3 linked regions of the Caenorhabditis elegans genome follow. The protein of the gene in region 2 purifies or fractionates together with the protein of the main gene of each other region. This does not show direct contact. Each region holds a gene or a part of one and is shown on either strand. Other genes may lie near its edges. The genes, in order: C48B6.2, F59G1.4 and K01A12.3.

What was found.
Region 1: the proteins of F59G1.4 (region 2) and C48B6.2 fractionate together in Caenorhabditis elegans (co-fractionation; one large-scale study listed by BioGRID). This does not show direct contact.
Region 3: the proteins of F59G1.4 (region 2) and K01A12.3 fractionate together in Caenorhabditis elegans (co-fractionation; one large-scale study listed by BioGRID). This does not show direct contact.

What each region holds. Positions count from the first base shown.
Region 1 is NC_003279.8:6,914,952-6,922,162, forward strand, and holds C48B6.2 (U3 small nucleolar ribonucleoprotein imp3), read left to right. Parts: upstream 1-1,814; 5' UTR 1,815-1,832; coding exon 1,833-1,936; intron 1,937-1,983; coding exon 1,984-2,038; intron 2,039-2,094; coding exon 2,095-2,232; intron 2,233-2,280; coding exon 2,281-2,535; 3' UTR 2,536-2,610; downstream 2,611-7,211. Other genes in the region: haps-1 (Essential protein Yae1 N-terminal domain-containing protein), read left to right, coding at 108-305, 391-621, 726-830, 923-1,009; bbs-9 (Protein pthb1 homolog), read right to left, coding at 2,799-2,945, 3,291-3,379, 3,428-3,494, 3,544-3,696, 3,753-3,904, 4,087-4,173, 4,454-4,585, 4,638-4,736 and 7 more. UniProt on the Caenorhabditis elegans protein: Component of the U3 small nucleolar ribonucleoprotein. Required for the early cleavages at sites A0, A1 and A2 during 18S ribosomal pre-RNA processing.
Region 2 is NC_003280.10:5,890,966-5,902,025, forward strand, and holds the start of F59G1.4 (LisH domain-containing protein), read left to right. Parts: upstream 1-5,204; 5' UTR 5,205-5,208; coding exon 5,209-5,275; intron 5,276-5,323; coding exon 5,324-5,396; intron 5,397-5,443; coding exon 5,444-5,552; intron 5,553-6,261; coding exon 6,262-6,354; intron 6,355-6,399; coding exon 6,400-6,508; intron 6,509-6,550; coding exon 6,551-6,659; intron 6,660-6,708; coding exon 6,709-6,835; intron 6,836-6,896; coding exon 6,897-6,980; intron 6,981-7,362; coding exon 7,363-7,537; intron 7,538-9,263; exon of another isoform or gene 9,264-9,363; intron 9,364-10,838; exon of another isoform or gene 10,839-11,060. Other genes in the region: rfip-1 (FIP-RBD domain-containing protein), read left to right, coding at 1-586, 634-812, 898-1,262.
Region 3 is NC_003284.9:8,617,024-8,630,265, forward strand, and holds K01A12.3 (putative G-protein coupled receptor K01A12.3), read right to left. Parts: upstream 8,168-13,242; coding exon 8,074-8,167; intron 7,843-8,073; coding exon 7,717-7,842; intron 7,517-7,716; exon of another isoform or gene 7,428-7,516; intron 7,343-7,427; exon of another isoform or gene 7,259-7,342; intron 7,047-7,258; exon of another isoform or gene 6,975-7,046; intron 6,813-6,974; exon of another isoform or gene 6,741-6,812; intron 6,653-6,740; exon of another isoform or gene 6,580-6,652; intron 6,442-6,579; coding exon 6,353-6,441; intron 6,263-6,352; coding exon 6,143-6,262; intron 5,401-6,142; coding exon 5,181-5,400; intron 5,135-5,180; coding exon 4,812-5,134; intron 4,757-4,811; coding exon 4,590-4,756; intron 4,514-4,589; coding exon 4,414-4,513; intron 4,361-4,413; coding exon 4,253-4,360; intron 3,691-4,252; coding exon 3,547-3,690; downstream 1-3,546. Other genes in the region: K01A12.2 (uncharacterized protein), read left to right, coding at 1,555-1,618, 1,755-1,901, 2,714-2,733.

The sequences.
Region 1 (7,211 bases), on a different chromosome or scaffold from region 2:
TTATAACATTTAAAATTCCCCGTTTTTTTTCTAATATTCTCGAACTTGATTTCCGACAGTTCTTTCTTTTAATAAAAAATTATGTTAATGTTTTCAGTTCGCATAATATGTCGAATCATCACTCGAGCTGTTCTTCGAGAACTGGCGGTGCCCACCGTCGTTGTGATTGTACTGAGGATCTGACGGAAAACGATAAGCTGTGGAATGACTTTGAAGGATGTGCTCAAGCTGTGGCTCGTCTCTATTCGGACTCCTCTTGGAGAAATTTCAGAGGCGCTGCAGAGGGAACCACGCAGTTGTACAAAGTAAGGAAATTGTTTAATTTCATGAAAATCGATTAATATAAAAAATTCTAAATCGAATAGAAAATTTAAATGAATTTAATTTCAGACATCTACTGACAGTTATCGTCGAGGATTTGAGAAGGGATTTTCATCGGGTTGTACGAGTATTGCCAAGGAAATATTACAAGCATTTCGAGATCCATCCAAAATTGATATGAACATAGTTCTCGAAGTATTATACAGAAATATGGCAATTCCGCGAGAGGAACGACTTACCGTCAATACTCAAAACGGAATCTCATCCGACACCTTAGCGGCGGTTGAACTTTTTCAGCAGGTTAGCATTTTTTTTTGCTTTGAAATCTAACATATTGTTTAAACCCCTGAAAAATCGAAGAAAAGTTTTATGTTGAGGTTCTCATTTATTTTTTTGTTTTTCAGGCACTGAACCAGCCGCAAGTCCCACCGCTGAGCACATTGAGCCTATTGCCACCGACAACTAGAGAACAGACGACAGACACTTTGGACGAGTTTCTCGCTAGTCAGGTGAGCATATTTTATCTATAACTTTGAAAAATACATACAAAAAAAACGACAAAAAAAGTAAAAATTCCTGCTTCACACTTATTTTTTTAAAGGTTCAACGCCACCGAAAACGTCAGCGATCACCAAATAACTCAACGACATCTCCAACGTCACAAATGAAACGTCAACGACGTCTTTAAATCTCTCAAAAATCCTCATAATTCTCACTTTCCAATCTCTTTTATTAGAATTTCCCTTCTTTTCTAGTAGAAGAAAACTGAAAAACGTTGCCTTTGACACCGGTCTTAAAAACTCAAAAATGACTGAAAATCCCTTTTAATCACTGCTATTATTACTTGTTTTTGGAAATTTCGAAAGCATCGGGTCTTTTGAATCTCATGGTACTAATGCATAAGTAGAAATCTATTATCTAACCTGAAAATGCTTTCGTTTTCAAAAATAAGGAAATAAATTTTGACCCCAAATTCAATTTTACTCAGATTTTTTTACTTCTGTACTGGTTTTCTCTTCTCTCTCGCTTCCCCTCTCCTCCAAAATACTCTTTAATTCTCGAATTTCCAGTTGATTTTCAAACTTTTGAATACTTTACTCGGAGTGATCTTCTCTTTTTCGCGAAATTTTAAATTGTTTCTTATTACAAGTTCTAGCAAGTTTCAGGGTTTCATTCTCTGTGTAGATTTCAACCGTCGATCATTTTGTAAATAAACCGCCATTTCCGATTTTTCCTGTCTTCATTAATGCAATATTATTCTCTTTTCTAGTGTTGTTTCTCATTAATCCTCCCAATTGTAATGAAGCTATGAAATTTCTGATTTTTATATTTTTTGCAATCAGGTTTAAATGGTTCACAAGCCGAATACTTGTTAAATTCACCCAAACGGAAATAATTTTATTGAATTCTTGTCTTTATAATTCTACATTTAGTCAAATAAGCGTCTTCAAAGTTTAGTTTTTTTCTTATTTGTTAGAATATATGACTTTCAGACAAAAAACCCCGACAAAATGGTGCGAAAACTGAAAACCCATGAGCAAAAGCTGCTTAAAAAGACTGACTTTATGTCATGGCAAGTCGATCAGCAAGGAAAACAAGGAGATATGCTCAGAAAGTTGGTGTAAATGATAATAGCTCTGGAGTTTTATATTTATTTTTTAGATTCTATGTGAAAAAAAGAGAGCACTACGCTTTGTACAACACTTTGGCTGCAAAGGTTACAGTTCAAAAATCGGATAAAAATAAATATTTCTAATCTTGAAAATTTTCCAGAGTCGTGAAGTAGCTGATCTTATCAAAAACCTATCAGAATCGGATCCCTTCCGATCAAAATGCACAGAGGATATGCTCACCAAATTTTACGCAGCTGGACTTGTGCCCACTAGTGATACGTTGGAAAGAATTGGAAAGGTTTTTGTCCTGTTTCGATTTTAATTACACAAAATAAAACATTTTTAGGTGACTGGAGCATCATTCGCTCGTCGTCGTCTTCCAGTCGTGATGAGAAATATTGGAATGTGTGAATCAGTCAAAACTGCGTCAGATCTCGTGGAGCAGGGACACGTTCGAATCGGAACGAAACTGGTTACCGATCCAGCATTTATGGTTACACGATCGTCTGAAGATATGATCACATGGACGAAAGCTTCGAAAATCAAGAAACACGTCATGGATTATAATAATACTCGAGACGATTTCGATCTCATGGATTAATTTTTGTTTGTTTTTAAATTTTGATTTGTTGCTGTTGTTGTTCTCGTTGTTATCAATAAACATTTTCAGATGTTATTGAATTCTAAAATGTATAAAAATATTCACAAACTTACAAAAGCTTTTGAAATTTCATTCAAAAAGGCGGGTCTCGCAGCGAAATGTAGAGCTTGAAGTCGACATGAAAATGAATTCATGTTTAATAGAAAAACTATAAAAATAGAAATCTTCATTAAATTACTTAAATATGTTCTTCTTTAAATTAATTAAGCTGTCACTTGTTGCTCTTCCTCTTCCTCTTCTTCTCTAATTTTTGGTAATTCCTTTGGCGAGTGTTCACATAGTTTCTCAATCATTGTCATTTCATTTCCACGATCTGTTTTCACAGCCCATCGAAGGCGATCTCGTAGAGACTTTAATTAATAAAAAATTAGTTATTATACAGTTGTAAAAAAGATTTGACGAAAAAGTACGGTACCAGGTCTCGGCGCGATTAGACATCTATTGCTCAAAAGAGTTTACACCATACCACTGTGGCATTCTGGGTTCTGCTTTGTAACAATTTTAATCGACTTTAATATACTCGTTCTTTGAATAAAGTTATTTTCGTTACAGTCTTTTTTTGATTTTCTCGGCATTTATCATTTATTTTGAGTTTACAATGTTTATATAATTTTTAAGCAGGATAAGCTCTGCACATTTGTTGGTTAGTTTTGTCGGTTTCTTTATTAAACTTAAACTAAATATAAAAAAGTTACCTGTTGAGTATTTGCCCAGAAAGATCCATTTAAAATAGTATCCACTTTTGAAAGTTTTGACAAATCTGCTGCCAATTGGAATAATGAGTCTGAAAAGTTCTCGTGAGACAACTAAGAACAACCTACTTACTACTTACTCAATGAAGCCTTTTGATTTTCAATTTTTGCAGTTAAACTATTGTAACTATCCATTGCATCGAGAAGCTGCAAAACTCCCATAAATTAATTTCAAATTATTCACGATTTCCATTACTTCTCTATATGATTTATCAAACAGTGCATCCAAAGAAGGCAAATTTCCCATATTTCCAGTTTTACACGAATTCAAAGATAATGCTTCAATTGCTCGAACTTCTTTTGTTCGACAGTCAATTTTCTTTGAATCTTCCTTTTTCTTCGTTTGAAGCTGTAATATTTTTTGAAGGATATTATTTTTTCTTCTACTTAAAAAAACTTTAATACCTCTTGAATTTCATCCAATGTTTCTCTCATGTACTCAAATGGAATAACTCCTCCAATTTCAATTCCCGGCGCTGATTCAGCAATTCGTTTTACCAATTCCCTTGATGTTATTTGTAATAATGAAATATGTTCTGATTGAATACGGTAACGATCTGGAAATATTTCATTCTCCTCGTACTTCGAAGTTTCAAATTAACGCTTTCCATCTGGGCACAAGGAATATCGAACAAATTCCAAATTCCAAAAATTTAATAAAATAGGCTTCGGGCAGGCAAGCTTAAGGTAAGTACGTAGGCATACCTGTCTATGCTTTATTGAAATGGAAGAAACTTACTTGACTTGTTGGCTGCAAACACTGAAACTGTCTTATCAGAGCCATGAAGAGAAAATCCAATTGCTTGTGGATTTTCAGATTCGAACTCTAAAAATCATTGTTAAGATTTGAGTTCTATAAACATCGCACCTTAAACACTCAAAACTATCGTTAGTTAGCGCTGGTATTTTTGGAAAATCACTCATAATAGTCCATTATATACTAGCATCGTTAATATCATTAATAAACACTTCAAAAATTTTAAATAACTTTGAAAACGTTTGTCCTACAAGTATTCCAAAAAAAGTTAGTTGCTTGGCACATGTTAATTAATTTTCTATATTACAATAGTTATGCCTTTTGTCAGAATGAAGGAAAAATAGCTCACCAGAAAATAATTTATTCAGTGGCATAACCGATCCAGCTGTATCAATTGTCACTTTATATTTTGCATTTCTATCAATTTGTGATTCCTCAAACAATACTTTGAATGGCAAATCGATTGATTTGGTGACTGTTACTAAAAATAAAGTTATTGAACTATTTTAATTCGGTTAGTAATCTGAAATTACATTGGGTGAATGCGCAATGTGCTGCAATAGTGACTTTATTGCTAGTTGGAGATTTTTTGGATCCGACGTAAAATGGAATTTCAATAGATGCAGTGGACTCTGAAAGGTAAATGGATTATTAGAGTTTCAGAACAAAATAATTTTTTCAATAAATGTTGAATTGAGTTGCGCTTTCTGTAGATTCGAAAAGTATTAAATTTATGCAACAAAAATTACAACTTTATATGTTTTTAGATTTTTCCACTATCAACGTTTCCAATACTTTTTTTCAATTTTTAAATTTACCATAACTGTTTTTGTTCTTAGGAACAAGAGTTCAATGTAGAACATTGTTATAAACGAATTTGTTCCAGACCGAAAGTTTATGATAAAAACTTACTTGAAGTCCCCACATTAAGAATTACTTGTTTGGATGGAGAAGCACATTCCGATAGAATATTGATGTGAAGTTTAGAAACATTTTGAACTTCTGAGAATTCTACAATAAGGTTGCAGTATGGTGCATTGCTTGCAGCATTTGGCTCAATCTAAATTAATATTTGAATAATGTTCCAATGAACAAACTTACAGTTCGTTTACCAATTTCTCCAATGCTCAGCTTCATTTGAATTCCTTCTTTTCTTTTGATAGCTCCACCGGCTGCATCTGATTCCTTGATTTTTTGCTCCATTCTCTTATATTCTTCCATTCGTTCCGCGTAATTTACTATCACTTTGTCCTCGGGTAACTGTAATTTTTTTGCGATAAAAATAGTGACCGATTTGTTTCAATTACCATAGGTCTACTGTATCTGTTAAAATTACTTCTAGTTGACACTAATTTCGAATATTATATCTTAAGTCTAATTCTATTAATATTTGAACGAAGATAAAGCTGAATACATATTAGAAAAGATTGTGCAGCGCCAGTGTGAGAATTGTTAAAGACCACTCTTAAACAGTCAAAAATGAAAGTAAAACATTAAAAAAAAAGTTTAAGTATGATTCTTATATTCCAAAAATTTGGCATTTTGCCAAAACTATAATTTTCGAAAGCTAAAAATGATTTATCCTGATACTTGATAATTTTAAATTATAAATGGCCCTATATCACATCTATACAAAAAAAAATCTCACCCTATATAAATTTGGCTCGGTTCCAAGATATCCAACCACAACTTTACCGTCTGGTGCCATCATTGTAATGGTATTCTCATAGGATTTGCTGAAATATTAAAATTCTTATTTTAATTCTAGAAATGTCAAAAACTAACTTATAAGAGCAAACTAATAGTGCAACTGGTGACATTTGAGCATTACAGTTCCATACAAGTTTATTATCTTGAAATATTAGCAATGTATCGTCAGATGTTGAAACTATTAAACGATTGAATTGAGTGTTATCTGATTGAGAGTAAACATTAATAAAAGTTTGAAAATATATGAAATCTTACTAATCAGAAGTGATCTATAAAGACACATTGCCATTCCAACAGCTTCTAAACGAATCTGCCAGACAACTGATCCAGTTGCATTAAATGCAGACACGTGTCGGCGGCATAATACAATGGTTGTTGGTTTAGATCCTTCGGTTACTTTCATTTGTATTGCAGTATCACCCAGATTAAAAGACCAGTCATACTGAAAAAAAGAAGACTCAAATTTACTGTCAGTGTAAAGTCAGCATATTTGAAAAAATGTTCAGCGTTATCAAAATTCGACAGCTTGGGTTTATTATTTGTAATTAACTCAATACTTTTTAGTTTCCCGATGATATTGGACATTCGAAAAATATTCAATAGTCCACAGCTTACATTAATCTTTTTCTGCGATCCACTTGACATAAGACTGAATTTGATAGCAGCTAAGAATCCATTATTTGCAACAAAAAGAGTTTGTGTAGTCTGACAGTAACCGATTGGTCCTGGTTGAAGAGCTCTCAATGGAACCATTGAAAAAACACATTGATCTCCTTGAAACAAAGATAATTTACAATCAATTGATTGCACTAATATCTGTGGAGTTGATTCTTCAATTGGTATTACACACATATTCCATGCAGATGTTGAAAAAGAATGAGAGAATATCTCATCAAGTGATGCGAGGGTTTCATCAGGACTTGCTGAAATTTTAACCATTTCGTACCAGGGCTGTGCGGCTGTCGGCTGTCGGCATCAGCCGACAGCCGAATTTTTTTACCAGCCGCACAGCCTTGTTTCGTACTTGAGCCTATTATTTTTTGTATATTACAGGATGACCCGTATTTATTAAGACAATCCGAATCAAATATTGTATTTATCTCTCTTTGAAGTTAAATAAACATGTATCAACAACTATCGGTTTCAAAATGAAAAGACTCAAAAATATGGAGCCTGTCAAAATAGATTTCATAGTTCGATTTATCAAAACGTGTTTTATATTAACGAATTAGAAAGATGTATTCAATTATTAATGTAATGTTGGATCAGGAATATCTTGGAGTTGACCTAGTTTGCAAAAAAACAGTTTTTATGATACCACATCTGTTTGTCATAATTATGAGCCACTCTGTATGATAAATAACAGCTGAATAGATACATAACTTACCAAAATGAAC
Region 2 (11,060 bases):
GCCTCAAAACTGAAAATTCAGTGCTGAAAGAACGAATGCACAATTTGGAGGAACAGTTGACTGATAATGAGGATCGATTCAAGCAATTGCTCTCCGATGAGAAGGCACGTGGAACTGAATCAATGTCAAGGTTGAAAAGAGAAAAAGAATTGGAAACTGAAAGTTGGAATTTGAAATATCAAATGCTTGAGAAAGATTTGATTTCTGTGAAAAAAGATGCTGAAAGATCAAATGAAGAAACAAAGAGAATTCGAAATGAATTGGAGAAGACTGAAAATAAACTTGAAGAAGCTCAACTTCTTGTAGAAGGAATGGAAGAAGAACGAATTCAATTGGAACGACAATTCAGAAAATTCAAAGAAGAAGCTCAGCAAGATATTGATTCCAGCAGTGAAATGGTTGAAGTGTTGGCTTTGGAAACAGAAGAATTAAGGAGAAAAGTAGATGGTCCCCGATCTGAAAGTATCTCTGATCGTGAAGATATGCACGAAGAGATTGAAATTTTGAAAGCCAAAGTAGCAGAACTAATGAAAGAAAAAGAAGAAATGACTGATCAATTATTGGCTACTTCTGTAGAACGGGGAAGGTGAGTTGACATTCCAAAGTTTTCATTCAAAAACATTTTTTCTTCAGATCTCTCATTGCCGATACACCGTCACTTGCTGATGAACTTGCCGGTGGTGATTCTTCTCAGCTTCTAGATGCTCTTCGTGAGCAGGAAATCTGCAATCAGAAGCTTCGAGTCTACATCAATGGAATTCTGATGCGTGTCATTGAGAGGCATCCAGAAATCCTTGAGATCGGAGAAGAAGGTGTAAGTGGAATTTTACAATATTCTTTGAATTTAAAAAAAAAGTCGTACTCGATCTTGTCCAGCCTGATTGTATTTTTTTCCAGGAATCCTCTCCAAGTTGACGGTGCGCCGGAGAATCTCAGTCCTCGCCAACGTCGTCGTCATCATCGATTCCAGAAGAGTCATCATCACCGACACTTTCAGCAAGAATCTCCGCCTACCTTCCCTCATCGTTTCTTCGATGGGGATGAATAGACACATGACGTCATCAACGATTGGCACTCAATTCCTTGTGACGTGGCATGCAACATTTAGTCTTTTTTTTTCTTTTCTCCATCCCTGTGATTTTCAAAATGCTTTACTTCAAATGTTTCTTTGTACAATCTCCTCGTTTTTAGTCCCCTTTACCCCCTCCAACAGTATTTTCGAATTGCGTGCCACGTCACAGATAGATCCCGTTAACGGGTAAAATACCATCCATAATATGTACATCTGAGACTGAGATCCCCCTCCGACCCCCCATTTTTTCTGGACCTTTTTACCCCAGTGATACACACATTTTTTTTTGTTTCAAAACTTCAATTTGCCCAACGATAATTTTCCATTCGCACCCCATTGATGATCCATACATTTTGTGATATATAGCATTTTTCTGCCCATCATTTTTTCCGACTTTTCCCCCCTCGAATATTTATAATTTATATTCATGTGTTTGTATTTTCCGTCTGTCTTTTCTGAAAATTCTTGTCATTTTCATGGTTAGTGATAGTTCTTCTCTTCTTTCCGTGCCGATCACCAATTTTTGAATTCAATCGAGCTTTTTATTGTTGTTTCACTAAAATTTCTGTCTGTGTAAGAAGAGTTTAAAAAGAAGAAGAAGATACAAAAACGAAGAATAAACATGCATTTTCTCAAAACCATGCATTTTGAATGGAAACAGAACAAAAAAATTTATAAAGGGAGAAGATGAGACATGCAATACTTCTTCATCAACTGAGTATTATACAAGAATTCAACTGGTCATTTTCATTTTGGAAATAATCATGTCTATCGTTTCTTTTCTACGGAGCCTGCTGATTTTCAAACTTTCTTTTAACTACGTATTCCAAATATTTTACAGTTTTTTTTTATCTACCGAGAAACTGTTTTTTTTTAACTATGTCCTGAACTATATTTTGGAAAACGCAGTCATATTAGTATCGTTAAATTTTTGCTCATTGACATTTACAGAACTGAGCTCCAATTCTGCATCGTTACCTGTTCCCGTTTTAGGTTTTTTGTGATGTTTTTATATGCGTCGTTAGATTCTTTAAATCAGTTGAATAGGGAAGGGTGTGGGCGTTTTGCGTGTTCCTCAACAGGAAACCAGGAAAAATTGGTATTAAAAAATGAAAAATCCTGAGTTGCATGTCAAACTTTTTATTCGAACAATCTTTGTGTTTTCACAGATTATTTTGTTCTCACAATCAGAAGTAAATTACCGTTTCAAATAAATATTTTTAATTCTGAATCGATTGGCGTTGCTCAATTATTAAGAAGAGCTGGCTAAACTTGGCCTTTCGTTGAGCCTTCTCAGAATTAATATTGTCGATAAGAACTTATTATGAAAGAACTCAACCAAATAAGGTTGCCAATTGTGAACAATGATTATGATCAAGATTTGCTTACCATTAGAACATGCACGTTGCTTATTTAACTTATAAACTTATCACCAACGTTTTCTTCTCTAAAGTAACTTTCAATCACAACTACTAACTTCATTTCACCTGCTGTTTTCCGTTTATCTTGAAAAAATGGCTTGTCTCTAGTCTTATGACTTACGGAATTGGGCAGTAAACAAGTGAATGGAAAACAAGAGAGCTGTAGTATTTTGTCTGTACAATAAACCAGAAGCTATCAATTATTGAAAAGCGTCAGTGGAAGGTGATTGGAGTGACTGAAAGATTGTTATTAGAGCTTTTGAATAAATCGTTTTTGCTCTCAAGATCTCTGAATGTTTTGGTAAACATCAGTCCTGATCGAGAATTAGTCCCTGCACGCAAAACTAGTAAAGAAAATATAGTATCATGAATTGGCAGCGGGTAAGTTTAATTAAGACACTTCTTGTCCTGAAAGATCAAAATTTCCCATAATCCTCTACTACTTGGCTTCTAACTATTTCCAAAGAATCAGCTTATCCAAATTTCGCAATTCCCAGTCAACCTCAGACTCGACCTTTTCAAGCCAGAAACGCGAAACTATATTTCTGATTTGTTCGAAACAAATTCACAACCAAGAAACCAAGATGTGTGAGAGGAGGAAATAAGAAAAGATAAAAGATGAAAAGGTAAGCAACACGTCGTCACGGCAACCATTGTCGTCGGTTTGTTCGGCTCACCGCCCCGCATTTCAATGGTAATCGTCCGTGAGAGGGAGAGGAAAAGAAAGAGCACGGAGGCACGCGGCTGGGACGGACGGACACCTTTTCTCTCCATTTCCATCGGGTCCTTCATTTCCCCATTTCTCATTTTCAAGAAGTGTTTGTGAATTTTGAATTAAAGTAGAAGATATTTTTAGAGTGATAGAGAGAAGTCATTCTCTGTTTCTGATAACATCTACATCATTGGAAAGTTTATTTTCATGGGAATGTCTAGAATGAAATATCAACCTTTCATTGTGAATAATCAGATTAACTATCAATACTGTAATAAGAATTAAATTCTCTCACGATTCTATAAAAGTTTCAAATCATTGCAAAATCTCTATTTCCTATTTTTCTAGGTCTATCCATGATTCACATAACCTCGTCATTTTCTAGTTTCACGCCAACTTCTGCTCTGGTTTTTGTGGGAAATTTTGAATTGTGTATTTTTAATTTGCTTTTTTCTAAGAAATTGTCTGGTATGCTTAATAGAAATCCGCATCCCAATAAAGCGTACGCGGAATGTAATTGTTTTAAGACTAATTTTTCACATTTTTGTTACTTTAAAACATCTTGGAGACGAATTTTAGAAAAATCACAGAGCAAATGTGCAACTTCCCCATTTCCCGTGCTCTTTGATGATTTAATACGGACCACTTTTGGCCTCACTGGTGTTTGAATCGAAATTTATTTTCGTTTTTTTTCTTGGAATCCAAAACTTCTCCTTTTTTTTCTCAACATGCTTTTTTTTCAATATCAGGTAATGAGTTCTTGAGATTTCTATGAAATTGTGTTTTTGTCTGCTTGGTTTTTTTTGACATTTCATTAATAACAAGGAAGTTATTTATATTTTCTCTGCTTAATCGAAATCATCATCTTACCACCTGATCTGTTTACATGGTGCCTGGCAAACATTGAGTTTGAAATCTAATTATAAAATATTGATATGATAAGATCAAAGATATGTTAGAGTTTCCTATGAGTTTTTTTTTTGCAAAAGTTTCAGCTTCAAAGTGTTTTTATTAAAGTTTTTGCATTAATTACACAAATTTAAATTAATTTCCTTTTCAGGTAAGGACATTTTACTTAAACGTTGCAATAAATAGTTTTAAGTGACTTCCAAAAAATCCTTATTTTTTACTCTTTAATAGTAGAATATAGGAAAAATACCACGCTTTTATATTTTTTTTGCAAACCTTGAACGGCCTGAATTTTGAACTTTATCGTAACTACTCAACAAAATTTTTATAATTCTCTGGTTTCTTACAAGTCCAACTTCTGAATAGTTTTTCATAGCTTACATCTGATTTTTAGGTACAGTTGATGTTCTCCAGTCTAGTCCTCTTGAGAATTGAGTCTTGTGAACAGGAAATTGTTATCGACCTATGCACTTTTTGAAAGGATAATGTACTTCTCGCAAATAACATAATTTGTAGATATAGTCCAATTTTTTATTCCCACAACAAAACTACAATTCATTGAACACTTTTTTGTCTACTATTCTGACTTCATTAGCTTTTACGTTTGTTTTTACTCCGTTGCTTTCATTTCTAATTAACCGGAAACTGATTTTTCATCTCTCTTAAACTTCTCCAGTCTCTATACTTGTTATCACAAGGTTCCTTTCTAAATCTGGTGCCAGCCTTCTCTCTAAGTCTCCAAAGATTTCAAGATTTCAAAACACCTGTCAGAAGTGTCTCTAGTAAACTGATGCAGAGACACGGGGACAAGTTTTTGAGCCATAATTGCTTCGTAGGTTTCCGTTTTTCACACAATCGTTTACCTTCCTTTTTTATGTCGCCGCGTCTTTTTTCTTTTTCGACTTGTTACTTTTTTTCAAATTTCATAAATGCAACAAAAAAAGAAAAAAAATACAAAAAAGGAGAAACAAGAAAACAATAAGTGCTCTTTTGCATTTTTCATGCTTATCTATAATTAATCGTGGTTTTTCGAGCGTTTAGTTATGTTTTCTTTCTTCTTTTTCTCATTAAACTTCTTTATTTTTTAAAGGAAAATGAAACCTCCGACTGCAAGAAAACCACCTTCGAAACGGCCAACTACCACGATAGCTTGCCCAAAAAGTATCTAATTTAAAAATAAATTATATTGATTATTTTTTTGAGTTGCAGGAAGTGGATCCGAGTTTGATGAAATTGAAGAAGCTCCTCCAGACCCTAGAGCAAGAAGTAGAAGTGAGGATGTGTGAGTTTTCAAAAACAAAATTGAATTGAAAACTTTAAAAATTTTAGAAGCGTTCATTGTCTACTACGAGAAATTGATGACAAGAAATTAACGAATTTGATGGGAGGACATCCATCAGCAAGATCATCTGCTTTAATTTTACAAGCTTTAAGACAAGTGAGAATAAAATGGAGAATGCTGAACTATAGCTAATATACAACTAGAATTAAATAATTACTCCATTCAAGTTATTTCTAGAAAATTTTCCGTGCTCTTGATCAGATTTACAAGCAACGTAAAAATTAGCATGTTTCTCAGAATTTTGATTTATGTAGCCTAACGAGTACGTATAGTTGATCTTATGATAAAACGTATAATTAGTTGGTGAAAAGTTTTGATTATAAACTGAATATGTACTTGTTTGGTTGATACTCGAAGCTGATTATTAGAGCTGGAAAAAAGATTAAAAAAATGAGTTTCCAAGTATTTGTAGTTTCAAAAACTCTACTTACAAGGAAAGTGTTCGAGATCACATTTAGACGTCGATTTTTTTTAGAAAGAGAATAGGAAATAATTAAAATTAAAATTAAAATAGGAAGGAACAAGTCGATCGGAAAATTTTACAGTACAATTTTATGTACTAAGGCAATTTTTTAATCATTCCAGTAGCTCGAAAAGTGGTTTGAAAAGTTGCAGATCGATTTTTTTTCTAATTCAAATTGTTCTTCTGCTGCTATTTTTTGTTTCAAACGTTTAAATGTGAGCTGAAAAATTTATCTTGTAAACGTTATTTAAATGTTATTGTGATTTTGAAAAAGCTAAGGTTTCTCAAATAAAACATGTTCAATTAAACCCTATGCAAACATAGAAACCATCGTATTTTCAGCAAATGTCGGTAGCCACGCTTGATGAATACGTTCGAGACTCTTTGGAATGGATGGTATCACATGATGTATTGATGTTAAAATCCAAGAAAAATGTGAGCATAAAAATCATTTTTCGATTAATGATTGTATTACTTCAGAGCCTTTTTGTGCGAGTTCTGCAAGCCGATGGTGTAGATTCCCGTGAACAAATGGCTAGGCTCATCAACACAATGGCCAGTTATACCAGTGGTCGCAGTTACTTTACAGGTATTTGAAAAACATTTATAATTTATTTAAATTAAAATTCAGTTCATCACAAAATCTTCCTTCCTTGCCTAATTGCTGTTCTCCGTGGCAAACGGATCCCATCCACAACACATGATCAGTTGATTGCATGTGTTCAGAAAATGAGTATACGGTAGGAAAATTGAAAGGGAAAATAATTAACATGACATTAAAATTTGTAGAGCAACTTGTCAGAAGGAGTTGATTCAAAGTGGAATGTTGGAATGGGCGGTGAATCATTTGGACCAGAAGCTTAATAATTACGCATTCGAATATCTCGCAGCACTTATTGTCAATCTGTCAACAAATGTAAGTTCCTGAAATCTAACATTGAAAATAATATAATTGTTCTAAAAATTTCCAATTTCAGTCATTGAGCCATCCGTTAATTACACGACTTGCTGATTCTTTTGCAAACTCGATTGCCAATTTGGTAGTTAAGATAACACATGGAGTGAGTTTTAAATTCACATCGATATTATCAAACTAATAGTATTTTCAATATTATTGAATGCGTTCAAGCGTATTTCAAATAAGCAGTAAGATGCTCCATTTCTGTCCCGCGTCCTTCTCATTAGGCGCCTCTCCGTCTTGTTTTTCTCGTGCCATGAAGAGCCATATAAGGAGCGGCGCCTGTGTTTGCTGCTCCATTCCTTTCATTCGTTATTCACAAGTCAGCTTAATGTCGGGTGGCTTGTATAGTTTTTAAGATAAATGTCTCCAGTTTTTGAAATAATTTGGAGCTTTTAAAATAGTTTGAATTCTAATTTTAATTAAAAACCCCTTATTTCAAACTAATTACCCTTATTCACAAATTAATATCTTTAAATTTTCAGCCCTCATGCTCTCTGTACAACACTCTTCTCCTTTCGGTACTCTCGTGTCCACGTATCCGTCTTCGTGCCAAAGATACAAAGCTTCTTGAGGCTATTCGTATCCGGTTGGAAACTCGGAGAACGTGTCCGCTTTGCAATCTTCACATACCTTTCTTAATCGCAGTTGTTCATCAAGGTGGGTTTTTGTAACAAGAAAACTGAATGAAAAAGCATATGGTAGAAAAATTTGATAATTTGGTCAGATAAGTATATAAAGGAAATATTTGAAAAATTTGAGTATTTTTCAAAAATGTGCTTGCAATTATAATATTTAACAAAACCATAAACCAACCAAAACCTTGAAATTGATGATTTTTTGTTAGTGTGTTTAATCCCAAATTTATCAGTAACTCCGTCGTAGTAACCCATAACCCAGTAGTACACTCTTTAATTCAATAAAATGTCTTGGTTATAGTTAATTTCTTTGAAAACTCACAAAATGATAATGAAGACAGAAAAACTATCATATTTTTGAAATTTCTTGAATTGTTGGATTACAGAGAGCCAATAATTTTATCACGTTGTAACTGAAAATTACTATATCCTATGGGCCCATTTGAGAGTATACTAAAGTTCAGAAAGACCCTAACTTTTTTCTGTTCATCTCTACTCTTACACCCCTTGACACTAGACGTTACATTTTGTATCCAAAAGGCGCGGCGCCGTTAATATTTGTTTGTTTTCCTTATTCGTTTTCGTTTGCATCCTCATTCTCAACACCTCGTTTTTTTCCCTTTTCTTGCACAAATTGAGGTCAGTCGGTCAGTAAACCCCCCCCCCCCCCCCCCCATTGAGGTGACCAATTGGTTTTTCTTTTCCTTTACTTTCTCCTTCACTTTCTCTCTCTCGGATCACCAGCCGAAAAAAAAAATGAAAGGGAGCGAGGAGTCCACGGGTGCCTGGACGCGCCGGGATGGGAAAATAGAAAGAGAAAATGAGAGAAAGGATGGAGATTTCTCTCTCGTTTGCACTCATCTGACCGTTCCTTTTAGGCTCTTCCGGTCGTGCAAGAGGAAATACAAAAAAAACATAAATAAATAATCATAATAAGGAAGTTAATGTTGCGATATTTTGCTCGATTCCAAAAAAAAAAAGAGAGTAAACAAAAGTGAAAGGGGATGATGTGTCAACAATGAATAGCCGCTCTATGAACTTTTCGATCTTTAAATTTAGAATCTAGTTGATTTTTGGTTAAATGGATTCTAGTTTAAGATGATTCAGCCATCTCCTGATAAAATACTAAGATTTCTTGCAACTTAAAGTTCTCAAAATGCTCACTGCAATTTTAAGTGTCTCAAGACTTTCATTTTGGAATTTGTTTTTTTTAATACCATCTAAAACCATTCAGCTTTAAAAAGTTCAAACTGAACCATTTAATTGATGATAGCTAAACTATTTTATAGATATTATGAATTTAAAGAAAATTGAGCACATAGATGAATTATAAAAAAAACAGTGAACAGATAATTTACAATTGATTTACCGTAGTTTCTCTATTAGTATTGCACCAGACTTTGAATGGTTATAACTCGGATCATTCTAAAAGTATCTACAATTAATTAATTACAGAGCTATAGAAAAATAACTAACAAATATTTTATCTGTTGACAATTTCTGTATAAAGCAAACAAAAACTAAGCTATATTAAACAATAAGGTGAAATACTAATAGTGAAAATACGGAATTTTGGAATTTGGAACTTGAAGCATTTTCTATTCTGGTTTTAGATCATATTTTCTGGTTATTGAAATTGGAATAGAAAATGAACACATTAACCGATGTGCAAAACAATTTCAACACTCTAATAAAAATTTGAATCTAGAGCATTGCCTTTTCCCTATTTCAACTGATATTTCCTCTTCCAATACCTGAGTGATAACCGGGAGGTTTTACTTTCACTATTCACAGCGCCAGTCGTTCATGTCCTGCCCATTCCGTAGTTTGATAATAATCGAACTGTTCACCAGCGCCGTTTTCCGCATATTTTTGCAAGTGTCACTTTTCATGTACCCATTTGAGGGAAATGAAACAACGAAAAACCAGTTAGACTTCTACAGTTTCTTCTTCTTCTTCTCCTTCTCTTTCACTCCACCAACTAATCACCTACCGTACCCCTTACTCGTTTTCTTGTGTTCTCTCAAATTTCAATATTCTATCACATGGTTCAGGAGGAAAATATTTGTGTCTGACGCCACTTGATCGCTTTTTTGTCTATTTTAAAAATGTAGAAAATACATAGAAACTGTGGGATTTCACGAGGTAGTTATGAAACGAGATCGATAGTTTTGAGCGAGAAAAGGGGTGTTCTCTACGTTCGATTGTGTGGAACCGAGAATAGTTAGACACTATCTAGAGAGCATTCAAAAATAAGAGAATTTAAGATAGGGACGTGCATGACGGACGCGGCGCCATCGGCCAGAAGAACACTGCCATTGGCTTTCATATCCCTTTCCTTATCCCCTCTTTCTGACTGTTGCCATTGAATATTTGAGCTATTTTGTCAAATGACAAATCCAAACCACCTGGCTCATTAAAATTCAATTAAATACAATTAAATTCAAGAGAAAGATGTGCCAGGATTCATATATTCAAATTTTTATGTGCATGTAGGTATTACCGTGTCATTCTTTCTACGCCATTCTTTCAAAGTAAACTGATAAGCAGTAATGGCGCGAGCACCGCCACGCCAAACGCCCAATGTCATTTCAAACATGTATTGTTTACTAGCTGAAGTCAACATGGCAAAGTTTTCAATTTTATTCGTATTTTCTATATGTGAAGGTAGGAAAAAGTCTAAGCTTCAGAATAGGAAAGCTCACCATTTTTTTAAATTTTGTTGCAAAATTTTATAGGTCAGAATAAAACATACAGTATCATATTCTTGATTCAGTGTTTCCCATTAAGCCTTGTTTGAGGATAGTTCAAAGTTCACTACTTTCGAGGATTAGAAGTCTCAAAATCATGATGTAGAATTGAAACAAGTGTTGCCAACTTTCAGCAGAAATTCAATTTAGTAGAGTACACCAACTCTTACCAATGTTATTGTTAACAACCAATCCAATGCTCATCTTCTCTGAAATTTCTCTGAACACAGTTGTTTTAGAACTAGATAAAGTTCTCAGAAGTTTCCCATAGGTTACTGTAACGACCTTTCCCACCCATTATGTCTTGGTACCCCTTCCTAGAGACGGCGAATTTCGAAAACGAATGTGTATGTGTACCAGCCGTCCAGTTCAAATGGGCACAGGGGACAATCAAAATTGCACGACCTCTCTCTCTCTTTCTATGTTTCGTTTTTCATCCTCTTCTACTCCGCGCTCACTCCGCACCGCTTCTTCTCCCTAAACAGCCGCCCTGAAAGGCTAGATACTCAGTGAGAGACAATAAAAGTCGACGAGACGCCGAGTCTCCCTTACTGCAAAAATGAGAGGGGAGCGAGGTGGTCTACGTCTCTGTGGCACCTAACACTATTTCGGGGACGCGTCGCCAAGCGGTGGTGGTGCCAGCCTCACGGAAAGGCTTGCGGGGCGCCGCGCTCGTGTCCCTCCGTGCTCTGCTGCGTGTGCCTTCCGCTTCTCGTCTGTCCTCTCTCTCAGTGCGCGGGGGGACCGCGGCAAAAAAGAATAACGACGAAGCGACCGAATGACCCAGTCTCTTCA
Region 3 (13,242 bases), on a different chromosome or scaffold from region 2:
TTTTATGTTTAAGAGAAAAAATAGATATTACCGTATTTTGAATAATGAACATTTCAAAATATTTTTAGAATGTTTTTTTTTTCAAATTCGCAAAACTGAATTCTTCTTTTTGGTAAATTCCAACACTGACAGTAACATAATCTAACACAACTTTGAAAAGGTTTTTCCAGTATTTTTTATTGTAGATATTGCTACTCATCATTGGATTTGTGGAACCTATGTAGTGATAGATAGATATTTAAAGGTGGAGTACCAAAATCTGGGACTTTGCTTTTTTATACCCAAAATAGTCCAAAACTACTGAATTTCGTAATGAGACGTTTTTAAAATAACTCAAAAAAAAAGTTATGGTGGTTCAAAGTTTTGGAAAAAGTAGCCCATTTTCAGCTAAAATCAAAATTTATTTTGGGTATAAAAAGCAAAGCCCCAGATTTCGGTACTCCACCTTTAAACAAACTTAACTTAAATTTTGAGGTAACTTTTAAAACATTTATCTCGCATTTTTTCTTGTGGTTTTTGTTACATTTACTAATTTTTGGTGTTTCATAGCAATTAAGTTTCGGAATAATACACATGTATCATGTGTTAAAAAATCTATGTTTCGTGTCAATAAAGCATATGTGATCGTTGTCTACACATTAACATCATTGTCTAATAATATTTCATTGTTTCCCATTAAAGCGAATAACTCTACTCCTGCAGTCATACTTTATACAAGTTCCATGAAACTTCTCCATACCCACATACCTCGGCTATATCAACATTCACTCAGAACATGTGACACGCCAATTTACCAGATTAGCCGTATCTTTTGTTCAAGTTAAATGTATGTTAAATGACAACATTTGTCTATTGCTGTATTAGAAGTATATCACTTTTTAGCTGCAACGTTTTCTAAAGAGCTATGGTGATTATTTTTCAATAGAATTGTCACATTTCTGAAATCAGATGAAAAAATTAGTGAAGATTTATCAGCGTCTAACTGAAACGGAACAGAACAAACCTATCTGTTATTCCTTTAAAATCTAAAAATTTTATGGGCAAAGCTGAACAATGTAGTTAATATCACACCCAAATAGGTAGAATATTTTTAAAACTGTATTTCAATATTCTATGTACAACTTTTTTTGAAATTTTGGAACTTTCCGAATGTTTGAAATGCCCAAAAATTTGATTGGCCTCACAATCTACAGTATTATCGTAAACACTAATCTTGAACCAAAATTCCAGCCACATGTCTCAGCTCCCTTATGAATTCATTGTTGATGTTTTCTTAACGCGCTTATGTATGTAACGTGTAATTATTTTTGTGGTTGCTTGCCATTTATAATATGAACATAAGTTTGAACTCTGATTTCCGAGCTCCGCCTATCTTCTACGTTTCGATTCCCAGATGCGGACAGTCAAACGACGTCTTGCTCCCAGATTAAGCTTTCCAATTTGGTTTTCCCACCCAGACTTCAGATTGCTGTTCTTAATCTTTTTTCAAAGTGCGTATTTTTTGCAGAACTTCTTTCTCGACCCGCCTCTTCATCATTCGACAACGACGAGAGAATGGGAGCGTGCTCATCGTGCTTGCGTCTTCTGCTCGACGCCGAATCCGACGTCAAAATCCATGGTAGGTAATCCGCCCAGAAAATCTTGTGTTCACGTATGTAAAAACCAAAAGTTTGAACTTAGAAATGTTTGAGTAAAGTGGTAAATATATGTAGACTACACGTTTTCGAAATATTTGTAATTTTTCAATTTTACAGTTATCGAACCAACTTCGATCAACAATGGAGAGGGCTCATCAGTAGTCCATCGCGACGCAACAGCACCACCAACGCCACCCGTTGTGCCAACCTCAACGTTACAAGTTCCAGGCCTCCAGAGAGCGCGCACACCGGAACCCAATGATCGTAAGTTTTGTGGGCATGCTAACAGAGCAACTGGCTGATTTAGTGACAACATTAGCTTTTTGACGGGTCTATACTTTCAATCATATGTTTCACGCCTCGCAATTTAAATTTCTGTATTTTAATTTTGTACGCAGCTGTAAACATTGTCAAGAAAGTAAAGTGGTCTAACGAAAGCTAGTTATAGTCAATTCCATAGTGGACATCGTAAATCGTAAATTTCTTATACAATTTATAACACATTTTCAGATAATTAACGCGCCCAATTTTCAAATAAAGCATCACTCGTTTGGAGTTACAGCCAATGATTTTGATTTCGCATGCCTGAAATTAACCAGAAAACATGAGTACGTTTTTACTAAAAACTTCTATATTGCGGAAATGACAATAGTACAAAGAGTCTACTTAAAGAATGGATAGCACTTTATAACACCGTGTTAATTGAACTCAATTTGTGATAATGTTTTAATAAAAAGTGTGCAATTTAAATTTGACTAATTGAATGCGTTCTAACGATTGATCAGCGCCAGTAGATAATTTGTTAAAAACCAATCCTATGGTGTCAAAATGATTGAACATCTTAGTCAAAACAAGGCAACTTTTTTTGTTAAATGAGTCGGTAAAATGAACTTAAATTCTCTTGTACCAATTCTTTCCTACACGTTTCATAAAGTCAACAAAAAGAATGCAACTTGCGTCATTGCTTTAATTATCCGTCAATAAAAACCCTCCGGGGACTACTAAAGTCCAAAATATCAACCTAGAGTGACACTCGCCTTTAAAAATAAACAACTTCTTAATTTTTCAAATTTCAGCACGTGTGGCCAACCTGTAATTATTTACTCCTCGCATCTCGATTCATTTCATCCGGTCTCAGCTTCTTTACTCCTTTTAACTTAGTTTAATTAATCTATCAAGTTTTTGCCCATTTTTTTTCTTCATGGACTGAGCATGTTGCAAGCCAATTTTTATTTTAATTTTATATTTCTTGATACACAATAAATTATTTTCACATGACTCTCTACAATTTTGAGCCGCTAAATAGTCGCAACTTACATGCCTACTTTGTGCCTACCAGAGTACATATGCACTGCAGAAATAATCATTTTTTGCTTAATTTGTATTTTACAGTTTTATTCTAAATAAATTACTTGAATATAGGCAATAAACTATTTTACGTACACTATACAAGAACCAAACGTTAATGTTAATATGCAAAAGTAGGCGGCAGGTAAGCACGTAGGCTTATAAAATTTCCGCCAAATAAGACAATTTTACAAAGTGCAATGTTTTTCAATGTTATAAAATTTGATTATGGCTTTATTAGAATGTCAATTCATGGTAAAACATGGAATAAATGTGTGATAATGAGGAGATGTGGTAATTTTTAAAAGTACAATGAAAAAAGAAAACCGAAAGCTATGCAATCAAATTGAAATATCACAGTCGCGAGAACTCTCTTTGTTAGTGCACAACACGGGAACACACAACAACATGGAAGATTTTGTTCATATGAACTCACAAATTTGGGTGACAGATAGAAACATGTAAAAATGGTAATTTTGGCAAGAATCAGATGTTCATAGATCATTAGAGAGGAAAAAGAGATCATCAAATAAGATGTGTAGTTGGTCATCCATTAAAATAATTAAATGCTCGCTTTTTTGGCAAATTTCACCCAATGCTCAACTGTTTGCCGCCCCAAATCTAGCACGATAGATTTCGCCTCTCGTTCGCTGTCAAATCGGGATGATCCACCTTGATTGTGAGCAGATTCCAATTCTTTTGTGAACTGTAAAAAATTAATAATTTCAGCGGAACTTTTTTTAAAATTTACTGATACTAATTAGAATGGTTTACACATATTGATGAACTAAACTCTGAAGAGTAGATACATAAAAAAAACTTTATTCCAATTTTTTTTAAACAGTAACATAATCGAGTTTTCAAGATTTTCTCAATAATGTTTTGTTTGATGCAATTTATTACTCCATTTAGTTTTAATTGTTGGATGGTATGTATACTAACTACTCTTGAGCATTACTGCCTTTCACCTTTATGAGTTTAGTCATCACTTTAAAAATTTTAATAACCGTTCTTTAAAACGTATTGAAAGTTTTGTCTCAAGCTGTTTTCGTGTACAAAAAGTAATGGGTTAAATTAGAATAACTTTTTTTTAAATGAAAAATGGTGCGATTGAAAATTTTTCAATTCCGACTCTCGATACCTCGCTTGCTATGCATTAAGTTTATCAAAAAATATGTCTTTTTTTTGGGTATAGATTAAAGCTTAAGCTTTAGAAAAGTTTAGTATACCATTTTAAATTTTGAATAACTAGAAAGACAAGTCCTTACCTCTGGCTGGAATGGTTCATCATCGCTACTTTCCCTCCATCCCTCACTGGAATCGTACAATGGGTTGACTCTCATTATGAACTCGCATAGCTGCTCAAAGTCTCGACTCTTCAAATAACAATTATAAAAGTTTAAAGAATATGTGCTCGTGCAACACTCACCTGCATTTGCAGTGAATTGCGCACAAAATTACCGTCCCTGTTTGTACGGCCCGATCGAGCTGATATTCGCGTCGATTTCATTCCAGCTGCGTTGGATCGTCTGGAAATTTTCGAAATATTGAATTAAAATGTCGTGAATATATTTTTTTAGCATTTCGAAAAAGAAACAAGCATACTTAGAAACATTATGTCGCCCATGCATTCTGAAGGGGTGACTCGATCTTCGTTTTCTGATTTGATATCGAATCGCCGCACATGTTAAGATTTCTTTGTATGTCAAGCGCATTCTGTCATTGAAATATGCATAAATAAATGGGTTACAGGTATGATTGCACAACCATAACTGAAAAAATAACTTTGCAAGTTTCAATTTTAAGTTTAGAAGTTTTGAAGCTTACGAGATGAAGAATAACTAATTGCCACCCGGAAAGATATTCAAATGCATATGGTTTGATGAAAAAGAGAAATGTAGAAATTGTGCACAAAATTGATGGGTAGAAGAATTGAAACGTCAGTCGAGCCTTGAAATTGCCAGTTACAATTATTTCATTGAGCGCTAAAATTACCTGTTTCCTGAATCTGTTTGCTGAGTTTTGATTAAGTTTGTTTTTGCTGATTTTCTTTTTTACTTGACGAATTTTCAGCAAAACCAAAGTTGAGCACACCCATTGAGCTCCAAGACCGAGCAGATTTGCAGCGCAAAGAAGTGTGAAAAACAGGGCTAGAATATCAAAAATTGTACATTTTTAATTAAAAGTGCAACATACTCGTGTGAGGTCTTGGTTCTAAAAAACTGATACTCCACATAGTTCTCTGTATTCCAATCATTGGCTGGGACAGTGTTCCAACAAGTGCCGCTGCAATTCCGACTATCCATGTACTTGCAGAACAAGCAACAGCAACTGATACTTGATTGAGTGCTCTTGCTTTAGTTCCATAATAACATATTGCAATGCATCGGTTCGTTCCTAGCATTGCGTAGCTGATCTGAAAATATGAATTACTTTAAAGCGTTAATTATAGAAAAAGTTTCAAATTTTTTATTTAAAAAATTTTCTTCAGGTTAAGATTTTTCTTTTCGCTTGGAGAATGTTATTTTAAAGATATTAAAGCAAAACTTAAATTTATTCACTTCTGGAAAAATTAATAAAGGTAGGTTTTTTCTTGGTACAAGAGTGAGCTGACAAAGCCTCCTGCGGATAAGAGATTTGTCAGGGTTACAGGTGGCGTTTTTACCTCTTCTCGTCTCAAGCATGCCCGATTTACCTGCCTTGAACCAATTTCACTACCCACTTTCCGAGCCGGCTTGGTGAGCCTTTGGGTTGGGTGGGGTTGATCTTACGACCTCTTAGGTAAAAGTGCTACACCACCACCACTTAGACACTCGTGCCCCCTAAAACTGAGTGTACTAATATTTTTTGAAATATTTTGTAATGTTTTTATAGTTAAGTTAGTTTACTAACAAATATTCATAGATTCTGAGAGGTAGGCTATAGTTTTTTTTTTTTAACTTTTTTGCAAAACAAAAAATTTAGGTATTCAAAGAACTTATTTTTTGGAACAAGATAGTGTTCTTTCTGAGTTGAGCCCCCTTTTGTTAAATATATGTCTGCAATTTTTCTTGCGAAAAGGAAGTATGTCACTTTTTTTTCATATTTTCTCTGAAATTTAATATTGGTGACATAGAGGCCCGCCTTCACTTATGCATATTTTGCAGTTAAACACTGACCACTCCAGCTGTCCATGCAGCGACAAATGAAAACGAGAGCACCGCGTGAATATTTCCAGTCTCGAAACCAGCTGCTGATGAATCTGTTTTTGAGTCGTTTCGGAGCGACACAGGGGCAATCTATAATAAAACGTTCAGATAGTGCAGCTTGAACTTGAAAAAATTAAGAGATGTCGAAATTTCCAAAAAATAGATTTCTTGAAAAATTACCTTCTGGTATGGTTCTTCAAGACTGGGAATGAATGACGTGAGATCATTTGGATTTGGCCACATAACATCCATCCCGCATGCTACACCAGCTGAAATTAAATTCTATTATTTTAAGTATTTTGCAAAACTTAAAAAAATGTGTTTATCATTTTGAATTTTGAAACAGCAAATTTTTTAGGATGAAACTATTCAGCAAACCAACTTAAATCGAAGAAAAGGTAAAACGTGGCCGCGTGGGGCAATGGATAACGCGTCTGCCTACGGAGCAGAAGATTGTAGGTTCGAATCCTGCCGTGGTCGTAACCTTTTTAAAATTCGTTCTCTCTTTTTTAGGAGTACGGTTTGCCAATTTTTCAAAAAACAAAAGTCGATGTGTCAAAAATTATTTAGGGGGCACCCGGAGTTGAACCAGGGACCTCTCGATCTGCAGTCGAATGCTCTGCCACTGAGCTATACCCCCATGTGGTCAGCAAATATTTGACTTTTTTAAGAAAAGAGAGAGGGAATTGGCGGACAAGAATCATTGCAGAAAAGATAATGATAAATGGAAATCAATCGGGCTGAAGTAACAGCGCTCTATTGAACTACTTGCTAGGTTACAGTTGTTGTTCAAAAAGTATTTAGGGGGCACCCGGAGTTGAACCAGGGACCTCTCGATCTGCAGTCGAATGCTCTGCCACTGAGCTATACCCCCACATTCGTTCACGCTTTGGGCTTTAGAGAAATGATGGACAATTTGTTGAGAAAAAACCAAAAGCTGTGTGGGAAATTGGACAAACGCAGACACGGTCAGTTGTCCATCCCGGCGTATTTGTCCTTCACGGAGAACGTCCAAAACAGTTTATTTGGTCATATCTCCGCAAAATGTCAATCATTTTCCCGTAGCTGGATCACTTTTGTACATGTGGGGGTATAGCTCAGTGGCAGAGCATTCGACTGCAGATCGAGAGGTCCCTGGTTCAACTCCGGGTGCCCCCTATATACTTTTTTCTTAATTTTGGGATTTTTTACCAAATGACTGCAAGCCGTACAGCAGAAAATGTATATTAGCCGAAAACATCGAATAAAAAAATTTAAATGTTTTCGACCACGGCAGGATTCGAACCTACAATCTTCTGCTCCGTAGGCAGACGCGTTATCCATTGCGCCACGCGGCCACGTTTCGGTGTGACTCAGATTTCACTTTTTACCCCCTAGAAACATTTTATCAAGTTTTTTGTGATACTGATGATCAGGGGTGAGCGGAAATCGAATTTTCGGCTATTTCGGCAATTGGCGAAATTGCCGAAAATTTCCGATCGCCGTGCACAGCAGTTGATGATATTGTAAAAAGTTTTCAACTACTAATTTTTTGTGAAAGTTACCAATTAACATGACAATACTGTCTGCCAGTGCTACATTTGCCATTATTGTGTATGCGGAAAGGCGAAACACTCGGTTGGTCAGAATCATGATAACCGTTGTTACATTGCAGAAGACTCCCAAGAGACCTGCAAAAAACTTTTGTTCGAGAATTTTCATTGTATTTATAGAGTATATAGGTTTCTCCTAGTCTCCTAGTCCCATCAGTAATAAGACCCATCAGTAATAAGCACTTGTAAATGATTCACTGTGCGCATCGAAAAAAATCCCGGAGGAATTTTTTTCAATATTACCAAATAGAACAAATGAGAAAATATATTTTTAATGTTTCCAAAAAAAAACAGTACGCCCCGACTTACCAACAGCTGTGTATGCCACACCGACAATTGAGATGTATGAGTCGAATGTGAAAAACGAGATCATATCGGCCCGATGTCTAGTAACCGACTCCATTTTTCCTTGCAACGCTACCACATACCGTGGAACAATTGATCACTGTTACTAAAAAAATTGTTGAAATTGGAAAGTAGAAATGAGATAGAAAATAAGAATGGAGCTAGAAAATGTGGGTTGAGTCAATGAGCTAGTAGAAGAGGAGGGCATGTGCTTGAGAGCTCAAGAGCAACTATTGAATGTCACTATTTTTCAGTCAAGAATTTTTAAAGCTTTAACAGGCCTGCCTACGAGAATGGGAACATTACTTGCCAAAATGTTGTCTTCCAACAGATTAGTTAAAATGAGTGAGCGTGAAATGTGTCAAACACCGAATACTGATTTCAAAAATAGAAGATAGGTAGGTAGGCACGAATGAACACGTGATTGCCTGCTAGGTGAGATTAATGACAAAACGAAGTCGAAAAAGAAGACGTTGTAAACTAAGGTAAACAAGATACTGGAAGTAGCTTATCCCATTCAAACAATATTCCATTCAAATCTATAATTTTTTAGATTCATAAGATTTCATTTACAGAGGAGTATATAGAAAATAATGACGATATTGAATGTTTTGTTGTCAGGGGCGTGCAATTGCAATTATTGAGCAAAAATCTTATTTCCTTTAATTTATGGTGAATGAGATTTGGAAAAAAAGTGTTGCTTCAATTTTCCAAAGCTAAAAGCTGAAGCGTATTTTATTTTCCTAATAAATTCGAAAATTCCGAAATAGAGTAAAATTGCCTACAGACCAGACACAATAATTTCTTTTAACATTCATTTGACAGTGGCATTATCAAACTTCAAGTCCTGATTTTTTCAGAATGAAAAAAAAAACAGCTGAAACTTTTCAAGACAAGAGTCAAGTGCGTCGGACGGTTGCCAAGAGCTGCAGACACGTATACATGCATAAATGCAGCTGGTACTAAACTTTGAAGTGCTCTGAGGTGATATGTTTTACAATAGGATATCAAAATATATATAGCTTTTTTGGGTATTGTGTAAAACAAGGTTTGAGCGAGTTTAGTAACCAACTCGATACGGGGAGCCATAAAATCGCTCACACAGCGCTCCAATATCTAAAAGTGGCTCGGTTTCTTTTTTCTTTCAGTGTCATGGTGTATAGCTTTTCAACTCAGTGAAATTATAACTTCTGGTGAGAAGGGTGGCATTTATCTTGTATCCAAGCACCCTTCAATTGACGTTTCAATTTTACAAAAGTGCTTGTTTTGGTGTTTGAGAATGAGGGAACATATAACGTGAATCTATGGGGATTGTGGTGTAGAGGGGTTAACCTTTTTTTTTAGCAAAACTTGAGAATCGCCTTTAAACTTTAAACAATTTGAATTCAAAACCTTTTTTATTATCTAAATGTGCTTCAAATTGCTTCAAGTGGATCTAATATATAAAATATTAAAAAAAACGAAAACCCCTTTTTATGGAAAAATTCTTTTGATTGATGAAAAGTGCGCAACACACAGCTAATAAAACGCAAAAAAGAACAATTACGTTATAACTAAATTTCGGACGCTACAATACATGTAAGAATAGTTTCAGACTCCAATTACAGTTTTCTTTTATTTCTAGTCTATCAAAGTTCTAACAAAAATATGTCGTTGTAGCAAAAATGTAAAAAAGAAAAAACTACAGAGACGTAAAAAGCTAGAAAGCAAAAAATTAACCAGAGAGTCTGTTTTAGAACTCTCAAGAAATTATTTTAGCCTTTATGAAAAATTAAAGATTAAGGCAACCAAGTAATTTGGTCATAACATTTTACTGGTTAAAATATTTTTTCAACAAATAACTGTTACAAACCTTTAAACACTATCACCAAATAATGTTTTTGTTCCACATAATATTAAATTTTATATTCTGGCTGGAAGAATTGTGTTCATTATAATATACAGTTTGAATAACTTAACTGGACACTAAACGCGATGTTGGTTAAAAATGGAGTTCAAAACGCTCAAATAATATAATTAAAATTCACACGTTTAAAGATTATTAAGTGTAGTTTAAGCTTCGGTTAAATTTTCAAGTTTATGAAAAGTTCGTAGATTTTTAAAAACTAGACTAAAGAAAGATAATTTAAATTGTGAACTGTCGTAACAAAAGAGTAAATTATTTTATAGGCTCTGACAAAATGCAAGGCACAAACAAAAAATAACATTTTTGGTGCAATACAAACCAAGACTGACTAATTATTGACTGTGCGCCTGGGTGCAATTTTGATAGAATATAAGGTGGTTGTCACTTTTTTTATACAAAATTAAATTTTAAAAAAACTTTTTTGAACAGTGTTACTTTGATTTTTTAACGTTTTCTGGGTCGTTACTCCAACTCTGATTGAAAATCTCAATTATTTTTTCATGATATACTAATCTACCCAAGGAGTGTTCCAGAGTTATCTAGATTGATAAGACTTTTCCGAGCATTGCAAGGTTTTTCCTATTCATCATGGCGTGTCCGATCCCCTCCCTAATGCCACATTTATTTTCAGAGAACCTATTTCTATGCTTTAATGATATTTTATTTTTGTAACCCGCAAGATGCCGGTTTCCGGAAAAACAGAGAGCAGGGGTGAATAAAAGAGAAGAGACAAGCGATCGAAAGGCGCACATATCAAATGTGAGAAGTCTGTGTGGGGAAGAGTGGATGAAATCTCTCCTAACCTCGTTTTTCACTTGCCCCTCCTTCTCAAATTGACGCTCTCTGAACATTGTTCGTTATGCGTAAGGGGTCTGAGGTCACATTTAAAGTAAGTTAGCATGTAGTAAGGTGGCTCTGAAAATATCCATCTTAAAGAGGGATCTTTGATACAAAGTATTTCGATGAAGTACAATGTTCAAATACTTATTTTATTATCGTCTTTTTGCTATTGAAATTTAGAAAAAATCACTACAACATCCGAAAAATGTATAGATACTACGTACAAAAAAATATAGTTCACTCAGCAAATTTGCTGTAGTAACTTTTTACGGCAGGTGGACGTTATCAATTATCTTTGAAAGAACCTAATTTAAAGGTGGAGTATTCTCAACTGTTACTAAAATGACTAAATATAATAGTAAATCTTTTGGAAACTGTTTCGATTTTCACAGTTGACGTCACAGTGGTCATCTATCATGATTTTAATAGTAGACCGATATCAATTATTTCTACAAGTTTTTGTTCCAATAATTTGATTTTGAACATTGTACATTGCTCACATTTTTTGGAATGTTCGATTATGGACATGTTTGACTATTATGCAAATGTATACGAAATTCCAATCAAATTTACTGATGCTAACAATACCAACAAATTTTCAATTTGAGCTACCACCCAGTTATATAGGAAATTTCAGAATTCTAATTAAACTGGGTGGCCCCCGGATACTTCACGGCTTCAACAATAGTCTTGAAATCGCGTAAAGTGCATCAAAATTGAAAAGCTCAAAATAGGGGTGGGGGAGCAAAAAGAAAAAGCAGTGAATATATCTTTATATGAAAAAGGATAGAAGAAGGGCTTGAGGTCTCCCCCCCCCCCCCCCCCCCCAATGTCTCCTGTCGCCATCCGGACTTTTTTGATAGACGATGAGAAGAACAAGTTGACTAGTGAGTTGGATTGAATACACCAATCGTTTTCCTTTCCTAGTTTTTTGGTTCTTGTCGCTCGGTTTCTTCCTCCTCCCAGTTTTCCGGAGTCAGTTTTGATGCAAAACGACGAGTAAAACCAAATTTGAAAGACAAGGACACTTCATGAAATAAAAGGAAAACAGAACAAAAAAGAAATTTCTCTGAATATGCCGAAATCAAGTTTCTTGGGAACGTCACTCCACTATAACCTTCTTTTCAGATGAGAGAGCGCGTGTAAACTTTTGGTCCTGCTAGTCTCTCTCTCTTACTTCTCAAACTTATCTTCCCACACAGAATCAGCGGATCAAAAAAACGTCAATTTCAGTGAAAAAGTGGTTTTCGAATGTTTTGGAGTGGTCCTTTTATGTTCTGATCAAGTAATAATTGTTTGCTCTCAAATGTTCCATTTTTCATAATGTTTCAGTTCAAAATATTTATTGTAGCCTGTGAATCAATAGATTAAATAAAATAAAAACACTTCACTTAGCTTTTTTTACTTTAAAATAAACTTTTTTGCTTATTAAAACACCACATACTGAGAATAAACGGATTCTCAATCTATTCAAGTACTTTATTTAAACTGATAAATGTATTTCAAATGTATTCCTATGTCAGAGAGCTCAAAAATGATTTTTAAGTTTTTATTCAAAAATTAATTTTAAAATGTGAGTATACGTAAGTACTATATATAGTATACGTAAGTACTAAATTTATCAATGATTTCTTCAAATCATTTTATTTTCTTATTTCTATGATAGAGTAATACATTTTTAAGGAAACACTTGAAAAGTGCTGAATTTTTAATGCTGCATTCAATTTAATCGTCCGCGTTGATAAATATTTCAAAACTACGAGCGATAAAAATACAGTTTTCACCAATTTGATGGAAAATCGCCGATCAAGAAGAAAACAATTATTTTAGTTTAAAGCTTAAGTTATGTTCAAAGTATTTGTACTGTAATACTGTATGGATTCGAATACGTGACAGTGCTTTAAATATCTCAAAAGGGACGCAAGCTAAGTTTTCACCGCTTGAGTCAAAATAAAAAATGTTACCAAAAATTTTGTCAAAGTTTTATTAGGTTTATCACTTTAGTTCCACAAAAAAGTTTTTGATAATTTTCATACAATCCATAATTCCAATTTAAAAGCCCAAAGTTGTTTTGCAAAATGGTAGTTTATTCATCCTTATTCAGTATTCAAAAATATTACTTGTATAGGATTCAAATTGCAAAATAATTCCTTTAAAAAAAGAAGAAAAAAACATACAACACTGTGTATCAGTTACTCTACTTTTGTTTTCTTGCTAAACCAAAACTGAAAATATGACGTCAAACACATTAGGGAGTAGGTTGTTGATCAGCAGCTACTTTTTGTGAAATTCGAAAATTCAATGAGAAACAATGTGATAACTGCGAAAAAAAACAAAACAGGTGTTATTTGGAGCAAGCTATTCCATTCATAATTTATCAAACACTT